2 linked regions of the Saccharomyces cerevisiae S288C genome follow. Changing the gene in region 2 together with the main gene of any one other region gives a genetic interaction. Each region holds a gene or a part of one and is shown on either strand. Other genes may lie near its edges.

Region 1 (9,366 bases), on a different chromosome or scaffold from region 2:
TTTGCAATGTTGGGCCATTCAGATCTTGGAAGGAATCGAAAATCTTCTGGAAAATGGAGGACGGCTCTCCCAACGATATACAATTAATACTGGTTACCGCCACGGATTCTAGCCTTCCATCGGGCAATTCAAACCAGGACAAATTCTGCAAGTTCGGATTCGTATGTCTCAGCACGTCCTTCGAGCGTGGCGTGGAGAGCGACAATGGGAGGGACTGGAACTTCTGTCTTATAATCATATCAAGCTGGGCAGTCTTGCCAGTGCCAGGCGGACCCGTGATGTACAGTGAATCGGACCTGTGTTCAGAAATTGCCTTCGCCAAAAAATTCATAACTTGTTCGTACTCTGCTGTTCTTGCTGGCAATGCACCATCGCTGCTATTCAAGTTGACTAGCTCAGATGACTTCTGCAAAAGTGCCTTTGTCCTCAAAAAAATAGACTGTGAGCCAAACTGCAGTTTTTCTGGGGATGATTCTGGTGTAACATCTGTGAACTGCAACTTTTTTCTTTTCAAAGGTCGTGGAGGCGTTGCTGGAGCATCGTCAAATAGATTTCTTCTGATACGCTTAGTTGGAGTTATTGGTATAGCTGACATGAACGTATATGGTACTATTGATGAAAATAGTGCAGCGCAGTGTTCTGAATATTCCAAAATTGTTCTTCCAGAGAATATACCTCTACTATATAAATGAAAAAATAGACTAACTAATACTATTTTTCAAGATGGCGTTATATCTTTTCTGCCAGCCAACTCAATTTCCTAAGTGGGTAATTTCCTGATCTGGAAACTCCGACGCGTGAGGCCTCGCGTCGCTTTCTTCTTTGGGTAATTCAGGGAAAACAAAGGAATGCAGACTAGCAACTAGTTTCAAAACACAACAAATCGCAAGCCAGACATATTTTGTTGAAACTACAGATATTTCTGCTGCTTTTATTACCTTGCACTTACGTGACGTGACGAAATATTAGTTCTAAACTCAGGGTCTTGGCTTACCCGCGTCGGCTTTACGGATTAGTAAACCGAAGGACATAAGGGAAAGAAAGGAAGCCAGAAAAAGAGGTAGAAGTATATAAGACTAACTGATATGAATATTAAGGTAGGATACCTTATCAATTTTAAGGAACTTGAGAGCTAAATTTGCAAGCAAGTATGGTAAGTGATTGGAAAAATTTTTGCCTCGAGAAAGCCTCTAGGTTTCGCCCAACAATAGATAGGCCTTTTTTTAATATTTATTTGTGGGACTATTTCAATCGTGCGGTTGGGTGGGCCACTGCAGGTCGCTTCCAGCCAAAGGATTTTGAGTTTACCGTTGGGAAGCAGCCTTTGAGTGAACCTCGTCCGGTACTGCTTTTTATTGCCATGTATTATGTGGTTATATTTGGCGGGAGGTCCCTGGTAAAGTCATGTAAACCTCTCAAGTTGAGATTTATTTCTCAAGTCCATAACTTGATGTTGACTTCTGTTTCCTTTTTATGGTTGATTTTGATGGTGGAACAGATGCTACCCATAGTGTATCGCCATGGGCTGTATTTTGCTGTTTGTAATGTTGAATCGTGGACGCAACCGATGGAGACATTATATTATCTCAACTATATGACAAAGTTTGTGGAGTTCGCAGACACTGTCTTGATGGTGTTGAAACATAGAAAGTTGACTTTCCTACATACATACCATCATGGTGCTACAGCTTTACTGTGCTATAATCAATTGGTTGGTTACACAGCAGTTACATGGGTTCCTGTCACCTTAAACTTAGCTGTTCACGTTCTTATGTATTGGTATTATTTCCTTTCTGCTAGCGGAATTCGTGTTTGGTGGAAAGCCTGGGTTACAAGACTACAAATTGTGCAGTTCATGCTTGATCTCATTGTCGTTTATTACGTGCTTTATCAGAAGATTGTTGCTGCATATTTCAAAAATGCTTGTACTCCACAGTGTGAGGATTGCTTAGGTTCAATGACGGCTATTGCTGCTGGTGCAGCCATTCTTACATCCTACTTGTTTTTGTTCATCTCTTTCTATATTGAGGTTTACAAACGTGGAAGTGCTAGTGGTAAGAAGAAGATCAACAAAAACAATTAACCAGTCCTTCTGTTTTGTTTTTTTCTGTTTTTCTTCCTATCTTGTATTTGACTTATATATAGACTGTTTTATTCGAAATAATCATTTTGCTTCGTTTATGTAATTTTTGTATTCATAAGCCAGTATTTTCTCTTCTTTTTTATTTTTTTTTTGGAATGTCGCGCCCAGGACAAAAACATATAATTTATTAGCCTAGGCAGTAAATAGTAGGCGAAAAAGATTGAAAAGTATTATACATGTGGAAATTTATTAATTTTATCTATCATATAAACTCATGTCATTATTCTGGCGATTCTAGTGTCACACCATTTTTTAAATTCAAATCAGCGACTTCGTTTTCTGGGCATCCCTCAGATATTTCAGACGTACTCGATGAACCCAAGCCTGAATTATTCTTGTAGACTTTTTTCAACAATCTTAACTTTCTCCTACCTGAATTTGTCCTCTCACCATCATCATTGTCATCTTCGTCGTTGCAGTCCTGAGTTTCAATATGCCCAACCTCCAAACTACGATTACTATATTCAGGGGCCTGCACATCTTCATTACATTCTATCATATCATCAGAAACATCTTCCTCCTCGTCAGTCTTATTAAATTCATACAACTTCATCTGTTCATCGTATATCTTTTTGATACGCTCATCATATCCGTGGCGTGACTTTTGGATTATTTCCTGTAGTTTAGAGCTGCCTAATCCATTGCCATCTTTATGACGGCGAATGTAAAATAGCAAATAAGCCGATCCAGCTATACTATTTTCTGGCGCAGTTTCAGTTACTCGAGAATCATCAAAATAGTACCATTTATTGTCGGCAAAATTCTTTACGTACGCGGTATAGTGCCCACCACCCAAACCACCATAGTGGTTATCTACTGCATACAGGTCATAGATTAAACCTCTGGGATCATCTTTATAGACAACGTACCTCGACAGATCCAAATCTGTAATGGGGAAATTAACCGTGGCATCAATTTTATCGCTAAAAGACCTTTGACTTTCAAACCTTTTAAGGTGAATTAGCAGAATATCTGGTGTATTCCAAAGTTGTATTTGTTTGGTAGCCTGACGATGTTCCTTGCATGTAGGGCAGTACCACGAATCGGTTAATCCTAGTATTTCTGGTTTGGAAAATAATTGGAGACAATCGTCCAAGGTTATGGTTCTTTCCTTAGCGTTAGATCTTTCCAACTTAGCGTTCTCCAACTCTTTGTTAGGCAAAGTAGCTGGATTTTCCCAGTTATATATTTTATCATCGGAAAATGCCTCATTTGAACCCAATTCGCTCCACTCACAAACAATAATATCATTCATAGAAAGAATCGCAAACGGAGTGGAAGTCAAGCTATCCTTAATTTTATCTAACGCCTCTGGCTTATCTGTTAATTCTGGCTCTGTACTTGCATCTTCTTCAACATCATCTGTTAGTTCCATATCTTCATCCCGATCATTAGTATTATTTACATTTTCATTATTTGTTACAGTTTCTTTATTTTCTTCATCATCTCCCGATTGGAAGGGCTTGGAAAAATTCTTTGCTTCACTACCCTCGGTATCTCCCTCATCATCCACTTGCATAAGGACCCCTTCAGCACAATCTACTAAGGATGAATAATTGTAGATATCCTTCACCACATCTTCAAGTTTATCGTCTATATCTGTAGCTTTGTCAAGGTTTAACTGGGAGATAGGGGTCCAGAAATTAGGCCCTGTTCGGTTATTACTAGCAAATTGCTGCTCTTTTTCTACAGACAGAATCTTGATGGAAAAAAAGGATTTATCCTTGTCAGTCACCTTAATAGACGTATACTGTAGTATATCTTTATATTGTTCAAATTCAACATCTGGATATTTTTCTACTAATAATGGAAAAGCATCAGCAAAATCGGTTCGATTTCCTACAGGTTCAGGAAATGGGATATACCCACCACTTAAATGGACAAACCTGTTTTGCAATTTCATTCTTATTGCACCTGGATTATTCAATTCATCTTCTTTTAACGTAATAAAGAAAGGGACTCCAAATAACATTGCATTTTTGTAGCCTTTTTCAATTCTAGTATTCAATACGGGAACAATTACTTCATTGTCATTTGTTACTGGTAATTCATAAAAAATAACGTCATCAGCAGGTTTGATCAATTCCTGCAAGGTTAAAAATTGAGCATTCGACTCTGTTGACTCATAGTTAACATAGATTTGATTACTGAAAATCTCACAGCCAAATAGTGTATTTGGATCTAGGCCCGACATTTTACCAACATAATTCTTCAAGTCCATATAAGTGGACGATTTGCTTAACTCAACTTCAAGAAGAAGTGGTGGAGAGTTCATGGGAAAAATTTTTATAGTTTTATCCCACACTGTATCAACCGGAAGCGGCAATGTAACATCATTATACGGGTCAAACGTTATAGAAACATTTTGACATTCGGGACAATATAGCGTTGATTTGTACATCCCGACAAATAAATCCGTTATAACGGAACAATTTCTCTTTAAATGCATCTCCCAAGTATCGTCTGCCAGTTTCTTGACTACATTCCAATCATTCACGTCATCACCAGGAGATAATGATGGTTTTTCTGTGTATTCTTTCTTTATTATCCTGTTCAAATCTTCATGTAAACTGTCTAACAGGAAGGCTAAAAATTCTTGAGAATCCTGTTGCATATAACCAGAAAACATCGAATTAAAGTGCCCGATAGTGGATTTGAACATTGAAGGGGGGAAAGCAGCATTTCTTTGCATTATGCTCATCCTGTTTTGAAACAACTTCTGAACCAAGTCACTAAATGCCCTAGCCACATAGCCGTGGTACCCAAGAGGATTTTCTTCATTGATTTCGTCTTCATAACCATCATAAAGGAAATAATCACGCAACTGCGGAATGTGTACCAGGCATTGCAACGCAGAATTCATGTAACATGTATTTCCCAAATTGACCAAACCAGTAGTACCTGATGCTGGTTCGAGTTTATTATAAGCAAAATAGTTTGAAGGCCAATGGTGATTCCCTTCTATAGGTTTAATTTCTATGACAAGGTCACTCGGATTTGAAGTTATCTTGTCTAAACGGTTTTCAAACATGTCTGGTATTAGTAGTTTCTTTATCGGTAGTTCGAGAAATTGAAGCGGAGTTATTTCATATGAAGAATTCAAAAAAGTACTAACATTGCTATCTGTGGCAATATCAGATCCCTCTGACACAAACCAAATTTTAAAATCCACCGCATTCACGTCTAGATGATCAGCTTTCTCAAAAAACAGATTCATACTCTTTTCAACCAAATCACGTACTAAATTCAACGCAGACATCGAGAGGTACATTATTGAATCGTCCTGGCCATGCCTCCTTTTCCTCCCGTCTTGTTTTTCGGTCAGGTAATGTAGTCTGAAAAACCATTTATTGTATTCTGTCTCTAACTCCCCTGTGGTTTGGTTGATAACCAAATTAGTTACCACTGGGTAAGAGCCACTTGTCATGCCGTAAATTTCTGATAGAAAATTGAAAACAGGCTCTGCAATAGACAGATACGGACATCTATTGTAATCCTCAAGCACAAAATTTTCAAAGTCTCTGCAAATCATGCGTGTATTAATAGGGCCTATATCTTCAGGATCGGTAACATCGGGGTCGAAAAATTTATCGTACCAAACCTTGGGGACAATACAGACTTTATCACCCTCTTTTTGCGTTTCCTTGTTTTCTTCTATTAGTCTAGCAACCACGTCTCTTTGTTGTTCTAAGACATTTCTTCCATCTTGACCATTAGTTCCAAGATTAGTTTCACTTGCAGCGTGTGGCTCAGCTATTAACTCATTAGCGCTAGCAAATGAAGAAACAGCGGAAGCATCGGATTCCGTATCCTCAATTTCACGATCTGAGACTGGGACAGACTCTTGCTTTATTTCATCCTTGTCATCTAGAACATTCATCAAGTCCACTCCCAACCGATCACATGGTGTTGTGCCATCGGTGAAATCGGGATCTTCATTATAAACCAATGAACATTCACGACTTGAAACATCTGAAGAACCCATTTTCGAATGAAGAAACCTTCGATTGAAACAACAACGTTCTGCAGGATTTTCCTCCCTTTATTTTTCCAGTAATCCCATCTTTTATCTTCATGCACTTCTTCAATACGTAATAATATTTTTCCACGAACCGACCAAATTTCAAGGAAAGTGGAAAAATTTTTAATCTTTTAGCTTATAAGAATAACGAAATATACCTGATTATAACAGGGAAGCGTACCTTTTTTTCGAACATTAGACTACACAACAGAAGTGTTGGATTAATCGAATACATATAGATTATATATACGCTGTTACATGCTATCGTAGACGTATCTCTTACGCAGAGGTTGCGTTACCCTTGACAACAGATGCCATGATACCATAACCTAGAGTAATGACACATAGGAAAGCCAAAATAGAAGCTGGAACACCTCTCGTTAAGAAAGTCATGACACTTAAATAGCGATCGCCCTTTCTATCTACTTTAGAGATGGCAGTGACATTGGGGAACCCCGAAGAAGCTAGTCCCATACCACAGGATGACAATAATGCACAACCGAAAACAAGGATAGGAGCAGCTTTGGGGTTGCCAAGCTTGTCACCAACTTCTTGCACCAAGGGAATGATGATAATAGCGGATACTGTATGCGAGACGAAAGTACCCACAACCAACATCAGGATACCGAAAATACATAGAATGGCAAAAACACCATCATTCTCAATTTTCTTTTGTAATGCTTTTGCAATGGTTGATAGCAAACCCGAGGATGAGACGGCCTTCCCCAAAGCAATACCTCCCATTGCCAAAATAACGATTGACCACGGAAAGGCATTTAAATCTTGTGTTGATAGTAATCCGGTACCAAAAAACAAAACGATGGGAATGATTGCAATTTGACCTGATGACCCAAAAGCACCTTCAATCTGGCTTTCCACACACCACAACAAAATAGTGGCCACAGTGACAGTAATGATATAATACTGCTTAACTGTGAATTTCGTCTTAATAGGCTTAAATTTTTCCAATTTGGTCTTATTCATCTTGAAAGTAGTGAACAATAAAATCCAAACCAAAAGCATGGCCAGGATACCAGATGGCAATGCAACAGCAAAGAATTGGCCCCAGCCAATACCATAGGGTTTCAAGTACGACATGGAAATGATGTTTTGAGGTGAAGAGATTGGTGAAGACATACCACCGATATTTGCAGCCAACGCTACACCTAACACCAATGCTTGCGCAAATGGGCTATCTGCATCCATGGCATCCAATAGGGGAGATAACAACGAATATGTTAGAACAGGTGCTGCGACATTGGAAATCCACATTGATAGGAAGAACACGACACACATTGCCATTAAAAGAACGTTTCTGGGTTTACAACCAGCGAAGGCCAACAACCACGAGGCAAGAACTTTGGCGATGTTATATTGTGCAAGTACTTCACCCAAAGTAAAACCTGCCAGCAGAATCATAATTGTAGAAGACCACATGGCGGCCAAAATTTCTGATGAAGCGCTTGCAGCACTCATTATAGCCCCGTCGGAGGTTTTTAGGACTTTGAAAAGGACTACAAGTAGTGGTACAAGGAATGCTGTAATGTGTAATGGGATGGCCTCACTAGCCCACAAAAAGGCGACACACTCGACAAGGGCCATGCAGCGGTGCTGAGCAGCGTCGTTGAAGGTCTTTATTCCTAACAAGAGTCCAGTGACTAGAATAATAAAGTAAATCTTGTATGCTTTCTTGGTGAAAAATAATTTCGGTAGTGCAACGTTGTTTATACTAGTGAATTTTAAGTTTATCGGTCTGGGTAGTGGCCATCTGTAGTATTCCAAATCTAACTTGCCTACCAGCTTATTTGCATTATATTCTGTTTCCTTTGGTGTCAACTCGTCAGCTTGCGATAGCAGTCCCAACATGTCTTTCCAAGTGTTACTTCTTTCCCAAACAATGTGGTCATGCAGGTAGGATTTCAACTCTTGCTTGCTATGCGAGATATTATGAGGCCGGTCAGTGATGCGCGCATAAAATGTGACTAGCTGGGAAATTTTGGAATTTAGCAATTCGATCGTTTCTGCCTGGAATGCATATGTGTCTTTGAAAAACTGCTCCGATTCGATCAGTTCGGTTCTTGTATTCAAGTGAAGAACTTTGTCTGATTTCTTTGTAATTTTTGCAAACCCAATGCGGTTCAATTCGATGAACGACTTCAACTGGCAAAGATCGATATATAGGTTTACGATCGACTTCTTCAACAGCGATTTTTTCTGAGACTTAATGTTATACTGCGAATGATGCAGCAAAGCAGTATTATCTTCAATATTAGATTGATCATCGTAAAATTCGTCGTCGTCTTCGTCATCATCCAAGTCTAGTGGGGGAACTTCGTCATTTGTGCTGGCAATCGGTTCGTTAAACAGAGTATCATCGTCGATATCGTATTCTATAACTCCGATTTTCTTCAGGTCCTTCACCAGCGCGTCAAATTTGTCGTAGAACTTCGCTTCTGTCCTCTTATAAAAATCATCTACTTTCTGTTTTTCAGCTGTTAAATCACCAACAAACGTATCATAAGTGTCTAATTGCAGATTTTCGTTGGCCGTGGAGGAGACGGACGATGCGGAAGACGACCTTCTTTTGTAAAATATCTTTTCCTTCATTCTTCTGAAAGGAGAAGGTTTGGCAGCGACCGTCTGAGCAGTAGGCAACTCTCGCAACTCGATGGTTTCCTCAACGATGCCTGCATCTTTGTTCATACCGGAAGACGTATCTTCCTTCGCATTTTTAAAAGAAAACTTGTTTTTGAACCTATCTGTAATGTTAGAGCTCTTTCCTGCGCCAAATCCTTCTTCGTTATCACCAACCTGAAGTTCATCTGTTTGTAGCGTGTAAATAAGATTTTTCAGCTCGCTGTAGTCCATATAATGGTTTTGCCATTCTGGGACAGCATTGTACTTCAAGAAGTGTGAAAATCTCATGATCCTGTACCAGCTACCACTTACTCGTTTATCCTAAAAACAACTTTATTGGCCGGATGACATCGAAGTGAACAGTGTTCTTTATATCGATGAATCAAAATTTTTCAGTGAGCCATTCATTCTTCGAGAAGCAGCGCAAAAAAAAACAAAAAAAAAAAAAACGGCTGTAGCTGCGGCGATATTGTGAGCGCCCCGCTTTAGGGCGACTTTACCCATAGTAAAAAGGGAAGACAATAACGAAATAAGAAGAGAAGAGAACCGTGGTTTCTCTGTTGCT
Region 2 (7,503 bases):
TAGTTACGCACAATGTTTCATTAACACTTAGAAATGCCCATTTCGCGATTGTGTTGGAAAATGGCAAAGTGAAGAATCAAGGAACTATTACAGAATTACAAAGCAAAGGGCTTTTTAAGGAAAAATATGTTCAACTTTCTTCTCGAGATAGCATTAATGAAAAGAACGCTAATAGATTAAAAGCTCCCAGAAAAAATGACTCTCAGAAAATCGAACCTGTCACCGAGAACATAAATTTTGATGCAAATTTTGTCAATGATGGCCAGCTAATAGAAGAGGAAGAAAAATCAAACGGTGCCATAAGCCCCGATGTTTATAAATGGTACCTGAAATTTTTTGGAGGCTTCAAAGCTTTAACAGCCCTGTTCGCTCTTTATATCACAGCTCAAATTTTGTTCATCAGTCAGTCTTGGTGGATACGACATTGGGTCAACGATACCAATGTACGAATAAATGCTCCAGGTTTTGCGATGGACACGCTGCCATTAAAAGGGATGACCGACTCTTCGAAAAATAAACATAATGCATTTTATTACTTAACCGTATATTTTCTTATTGGTATCATTCAGGCAATGCTAGGTGGTTTTAAAACAATGATGACGTTTTTATCCGGTATGCGAGCCTCCAGAAAGATCTTTAATAATCTGCTAGATCTAGTTCTACATGCCCAAATACGATTTTTCGACGTGACGCCGGTTGGTAGAATCATGAATCGCTTTTCAAAGGACATCGAAGGTGTTGATCAAGAATTGATTCCATACTTAGAAGTAACTATATTTTGCCTAATTCAATGCGCATCAATTATATTTCTCATTACCGTAATAACTCCTCGCTTTTTGACAGTCGCCGTTATCGTTTTTGTTTTATATTTCTTTGTGGGGAAATGGTACTTAACGGCAAGTAGAGAATTGAAAAGGTTAGATTCAATAACCAAATCACCCATTTTTCAACATTTCTCAGAGACCTTGGTAGGCGTTTGCACAATTCGTGCATTTGGCGACGAGAGGAGATTCATTTTAGAAAATATGAACAAAATTGACCAAAATAACAGAGCATTCTTTTATTTATCAGTTACTGTCAAATGGTTTTCTTTTAGAGTCGACATGATTGGCGCATTCATTGTTTTAGCATCAGGTTCTTTTATTCTGCTCAATATTGCAAATATTGACTCGGGTCTTGCCGGCATTTCTTTGACATATGCCATTTTGTTTACAGATGGTGCTTTATGGTTAGTTAGACTGTACTCAACATTTGAAATGAACATGAACTCTGTTGAAAGACTAAAAGAATATTCTAGCATTGAACAAGAGAACTATCTTGGCCATGATGAAGGCCGCATTCTACTTCTAAACGAACCATCGTGGCCAAAAGATGGAGAAATTGAAATTGAAAACTTATCTTTACGTTACGCGCCAAATTTGCCTCCTGTCATAAGAAATGTTAGTTTCAAAGTGGATCCTCAAAGTAAGATTGGGATTGTCGGAAGAACTGGCGCAGGCAAATCTACCATAATAACGGCATTATTCAGATTACTAGAACCAATAACCGGATGTATCAAAATAGATGGGCAGGATATAAGTAAAATTGATCTCGTTACATTACGTCGTTCCATTACTATCATCCCTCAGGACCCTATTCTATTTGCAGGTACAATCAAAAGTAATGTTGATCCATATGATGAATATGATGAAAAAAAAATATTCAAAGCACTTTCACAAGTAAATCTAATTTCTTCACATGAATTTGAAGAAGTGCTTAACTCGGAGGAACGCTTTAACAGCACTCATAATAAATTTTTAAATCTTCACACAGAAATAGCTGAGGGCGGCTTAAATCTGTCCCAAGGTGAAAGGCAATTGCTTTTTATTGCACGATCATTGTTACGCGAGCCAAAGATAATACTTTTGGACGAGGCTACTTCCTCTATTGATTACGATTCTGACCATTTAATTCAGGGTATTATAAGAAGTGAGTTTAATAAAAGCACAATTCTTACTATTGCACATCGTTTGAGATCTGTTATCGATTACGACAGGATAATTGTGATGGATGCCGGTGAGGTAAAAGAATATGATCGCCCTAGTGAACTGTTGAAAGATGAACGCGGTATATTTTATAGTATGTGTCGTGACAGTGGGGGCCTAGAGCTTTTGAAGCAAATAGCCAAGCAATCAAGTAAGATGATGAAATAATCGAATGTTTCTTTCTTTTATTCAAAGATGAGGATGAATATTATTTATTAAAAATGCAATAGTAGTCTATAAAATATTTATGTAGAAAAGGAAAAACTAACACAGACATGGCTTTTTCACCCATTCTGTGACAATGAGCCCATCATGCAAATAAGTGATTTTGGGTAAAAGTTTATAATGGAAGAATTTAGGTAGTAAAACGAATTTAACTAACCAGAAAAAGAAGCATGCAACTATTACCAGTAATGACATGATTTGGTAGGGCGGCAGGAACCCAACTCTGTTTAGGCTAGGGTCGGCAAAGAATGGTGCCATCAACATGTATAATGATAATGTAATAATGGCTAATACTCCAAAAGTAGATGCACGAATCTCTGGGACTTCGTTCTTGTGTTTGAACCTCCAAATAAAGAGCCCAATAGCGACCAATAATAAGAAAAACTGATTACCATAACCATCCATCGATACCAGATAATTGAAGGATTCGCCCTCTTTGGGTAAAATCAATATCCAAGCAATGGTTATAAAGCCACATAAAGAAATAGATGGTAGAGGTGCATCAAATGGCCAATTTTTGGACATATGAATACTGAATGGTAAATAACCTTCTTTGAATATTTCCTGGTTAACTCTTGATATACTGTAAATGACAACCAGAATATTAGATGCTGCAGAAATGGCGATAGAAAAAGCAATGAATTTGCCACCAACTCTGGGTCCGAAAAGTTTGGTAAACAACACGGAACCAACCAGGGGGCCTGCACTAACAATTTCCTCATATGTCAAAACTTTCAAGTATGCCACATTCATCATTGTGTAGCAGACAAAACAAATTATCAACGATAAGGGACCTGACACCTTCAACGTCTTAACGGGATTCTTAATTTCTGATGTAACTGTGTGAACTGTATCCCATCCAGAAAAACAAAAGAATGAGCTGATAAAGGCAGTAGCAATAGAGGACACCGACAGGAGAGAATCTTTCTCAACTTGGGTTACTGGGAGGTCCCAGGCAACTTGACCGGTGCTTTTATAAAAGAAAAGCGTGTATAGCCCGGCAAAGCACATCAAGACAATCATGATCAACTTCAAACCACCAAGTGCGTTCTGTATAAACACTCCGTGCCTTACAGAGACACCGTGAATGAGAACGGCAAATATTATAAATGATATGCTGACGTACTTGGACCACGAATCATCCGTGACTCCAAATGCGCTCAACACGTATTTACCGAAGACGATAGATCCCGTCAATGCATAGCCAGTTAAAACACTGTAACACGAAAACACCACACTAATTAATAGTCTGGGTCTTTCAAAACTCCGTTCGAGGAAGTTTTTACGTCCACCTGATTTCGGTATCCAGGAACCAAATTCTAGAAAAAGATACAATCCTGCAAAAGCGATCGCAGCGCTAAAAACCCAGATCGCAAAATATATCAGCTTATTACCACCTGTATTCAGTAAAATCACACTGGGTACTGCAAATATACCTGACCCCATTATCCTCGAAACAAATAACACAACCGTGGAGAACACACCTAAATGTCTTCCCTGTGGAACTTCCATGAATCTTGCCGTCTCTGCCTTTATCGCCTGCGCTTCCACAGTATCCATCGAACTGAATGATCCAGTATTTGTGGAACCATATTTTGTGGTAATATCACCAACTTCCACATCTATGAAAACATCTTGAGAGGGATTTGCTTTCCCACTATTAAAAAGCAGCGGTTCCATTTTTACTTATTTTGAGCACTGTACGTCTACGTTGCCCTCAGCAACTTAGACTACAAACAGAATGTACAGATCATCGATAAGCATCCAGGTCTTTATATGTGTATTGTTTTTGCCCCTTGACTCAGGCAGGCCTCTAATCTATATGATTGATTTGTCATATATATGCAGCGACGCCACAGTTTTTTCCGGCAAGAGTCGCGTGATCTTTTTTTCTAATCCAATCTGTGAACATACTAGAGGAAACTTCTACCTTTTCTACCTGAATTACATTATCAACACTTTTGCACCAAAAAATCGTGGTACTAGGAGATGCAAACCTTTTGGTCTCCACATCAATTGCAGGAAAAAGATTGACTGTTTGCATGTGCAATTATCTTATATATTATGTAAAAATAAAAGTAGGAAACGCCACATGGATGCGCATGCCATAACCCTTGCATGGTTAGCACACGCCCTCACGTGAGTGAATTTGCCAAAATGATAGTCAAATGTGTTGATAGTTCGATAAGAGGTGAAGTTGGGGAACTAAAGGTGGAATAGAAAATGATAAAACAAAGGAAAGAGTGAAGATTGCCGCCGAGTAGAATCCAAGATTGGTGTGTATGGGTGTATTTAGTGAAAGTTCAATTGCATTGAAGATGACAAATTATGCTTAAGTGAATGGACAATGAAGGCTTCTCTTGAAGGAGTAAGGCTGCGCTGAAGGAAAGGTTTGAGACAGAGTGACCAAAATGGTGAATTGGCAAACATTGTTCATGGTCTCATTGAGGAGACAGGGCAGTTCCTCTCGTTACAGGTATAAGTTCAACATGGAGAATATCACACATCAGGTGTTCCCTCGCTGTAAGCAAGCGTTTAAGAAGACAAACTTATCTTATGAATATTGTGATCTTGAAGGAGTACTGTATAATATTTCACTCACGGACTTGCAAAAACTGCTATTACGTGATATAAACGCCCCTCGCGAACACGCATTCAAGATTGTTAGAACAGATCTAACTCAAAAATCCTCGAAGAAGAGGATCCAACACTGGGAACGGATTGCGCCTATGTTTGACCACCCCTTAAGTCTCTACGAGAAGTTGTTCAGCGAAATGGATGAGGACTTCAAGCCATCTTTCGAGTGGCAACAATTAATAAGGGTACGATGCAAAGATGATAAGTTGAAACTGCAGCGTGTAATTTGGCCTAAGTCGATATTTTCAAACTTTTGTCGGGGAATCGGGGTTAAGAAGAGCACTTACGATAGACTCTTGGAACAAAATAATGGTGAGGTACCCATGTTTGTAAACCCAGCTAATGCAAAGCCCTTGCCTCTTTTCCAGGTTTCCGATGAGGCGATGATTGGGGAATTCGATGGAATTGGTATTTTCCCTTACTTTGTAGATAAACATAGAGAATTTTTCGTTACTGAGGTAGACAAATTGAAGACCAAGATAGCTTCGCCACTTTGCACCTTGAATGAACGAAAGCGCATTGAGAAGGCTAACGCTGGTCGGATACTGGCGAACGAAGAGGGTAAACCATTCTATCTGGATGCAAACAGTGCCACAACTCGAATCGCTGGTGGTAATGTCGTCACTTTGAAGCAACTTTTAGAAAGATCGGTTAGCCATAAGACATTGTGGAGCAAACAATCAAACAAAGACAGAACGTGCCCTGGAGACATTTTAAGAGCTACAATATTATCAAACGACTTCTCCATCCGGCAATTGAGGGCTGAATTTTGCAAAAATTTCATTCTCTACAATATATTCACCATTTTACAACGTAACAAGAAAAGCATCCGTTCCTTCTCTGGTAACGATAATGCGCCTTCCTTTCAATTTAGTTGGAATGTTTGGGACTCATATATATGGAAGCAATATCAAGAGACCGAGTCCATGAAAATACCCACGGACCAAGCTTCTCTGATCAACTACAAGACAAAATACGACTCTTTTCTTCATGACCTACAAACATATTCCGCACTGGTAATTTCAGAAATGAAATGGAACCAATTCTCTATTTTCCAAAATGATGAAACGACTTTATCAAGATTTGAACACATCACATTAATTTTGCAAACCGTGCTGACAAAATCGAAAATGATTAGAATTTTCCAGCCAAACTTGTACAAGTTTATGCAAGATGATTTAAGACCAACTTTAATGGAGTTGGTGGGTTTCACTGAGTCAATAAATGCAACAATAGAACCTGGTTTTGCGAATGAACAATCGCTACAATCTGCAAACGGATTAAAGAAATTGGCCAACCAACTTTTATACTTCGAACAGGAAATATATGGCGAAAAGTTCCGCGTAAATAGGCCCATCCAGCTTCGTCCAATAACATTATCAGCAAACTACAAAATTGTTATTCTGGATAAGAAGAACGCCATACCCGAAATATTTCAAACCCTACTGAAATTCATGACACAAATAACGACATATTTTGTTAAAGATTTGTCGGAGGTAGAACTTCATGGGCACATGCATTGTATTGATAAAAAAATGCTGGACAAGTCGAAATTCATGTATTTATACGAAGAGAAAAGCAACGAGGAAGTGAAAGCAGCTTCTCCTCAAAAGGAGAAGATAGTAGATAATATCATTGGCCTATTATCAAATGATGAAGAACATTAACATGAATTGGAAAAAGAAAAAATTGCATGTAAATATATACATACGTAGAATTTTATACTTAGGCTACAGATCAAAGCTAAATCTGTAAGTCGTATGCCTTCTTCATTAGAAATATAGGCTCTTTATTTGATTTCCTGATCCAAACCAATCTATCAATCGCAGTATCTGCCACAATGAACTGTCTTATGCCCCAATCACCGACACTATAAATTTCTGGAATTCTCTCCGATAAATTAGGGAAGTATTTTTTATAGAACGGCAAAAACTCCATAACATCTTCTTTTTCAATGACAATTGAATCACTAACTTCTTTGAAGGTTTGTTTAATGAAACCTCCCTGATTATTACTTTTATCGTTGATTAATTTGACTATCCAGAGCAACAATGCGTCATTAAGACAGTCTTTTGTGATCAAATCTTCGTAATTTATAGCACCAAATACCAGTAAGAGAGAATTGGCAAATATTTTGTCGTTTTTAAAAATTGTCTTGAATGACAGAGAAAACTCCTTATTATTGCTATATATTTTTTTTTGTAAAACGGACAATTTCTCAGTAGTGGCGTTCAGAATTTTTTTGTTATCTTGATAGTATAGTTTGATTAGTTTAATAACATGAGGGCGTAATTTTTGAGTCGAAGAAGTTTTAATTTTAAAATTCTTATAAAACAGCAATCTCTGGGATACTACAGATGTTAATTGATCAATACCTTCCAATACGCTCCTTACGGTTGGAGTTTCTTCAGACTTTAATTTACTTAGGTAGGCAAATAACGCTAGTAGAACCGGTGGTAATGGTTCAGAAATTTTTAAACTAAATTGTAAAATGGTAGTTTCTCCATCGTCAGTAACAAAATTACCTGATTTGTTAAAATCCACGGGCAAACCGCTAACTAAGGTGGATGGTAGCTTTAAAGTCAACCTAGAGAAGTCAAACTTATTCGAGGAATCC

What was found. A genetic interaction does not mean that the proteins touch.
Region 1: mutations in MUP3 (region 2) and UBP12 together harm fitness more than expected from each alone (negative genetic interaction), as found in Saccharomyces cerevisiae (one large-scale study listed by BioGRID).

What each region holds. Positions count from the first base shown.
Region 1 is NC_001142.9:60,567-69,932, reverse strand, and holds UBP12 (putative ubiquitin-specific protease UBP12), read right to left. Parts: upstream 6,129-9,366; coding exon 2,364-6,128; downstream 1-2,363. Other genes in the region: AAA family ATPase CDC6, read right to left, coding at 1-595; fatty acid elongase ELO1, read left to right, coding at 1,151-2,083; PHO90 (SPX domain-containing inorganic phosphate transporter), read right to left, coding at 6,444-9,089. UniProt on the Saccharomyces cerevisiae protein: Ubiquitin carboxyl-terminal hydrolase that recognizes ubiquitin chains that stabilize FZO1 and promote mitochondrial fusion. UBP12 deubiquitylates FZO1 only after oligomerization.
Region 2 is NC_001140.6:22,667-30,169, reverse strand, and holds MUP3 (Mup3p), read right to left. Parts: upstream 3,930-7,503; coding exon 2,289-3,929; downstream 1-2,288. Other genes in the region: putative ATP-binding cassette multidrug transporter VMR1, read left to right, coding at 1-2,192; YHL037C (uncharacterized protein), read left to right, coding at 3,991-4,392; CBP2 (Cbp2p), read left to right, coding at 4,661-6,553; EFM1 (protein-lysine N-methyltransferase), read right to left, coding at 6,630-7,503. UniProt on the Saccharomyces cerevisiae protein: Very low affinity permease for methionine.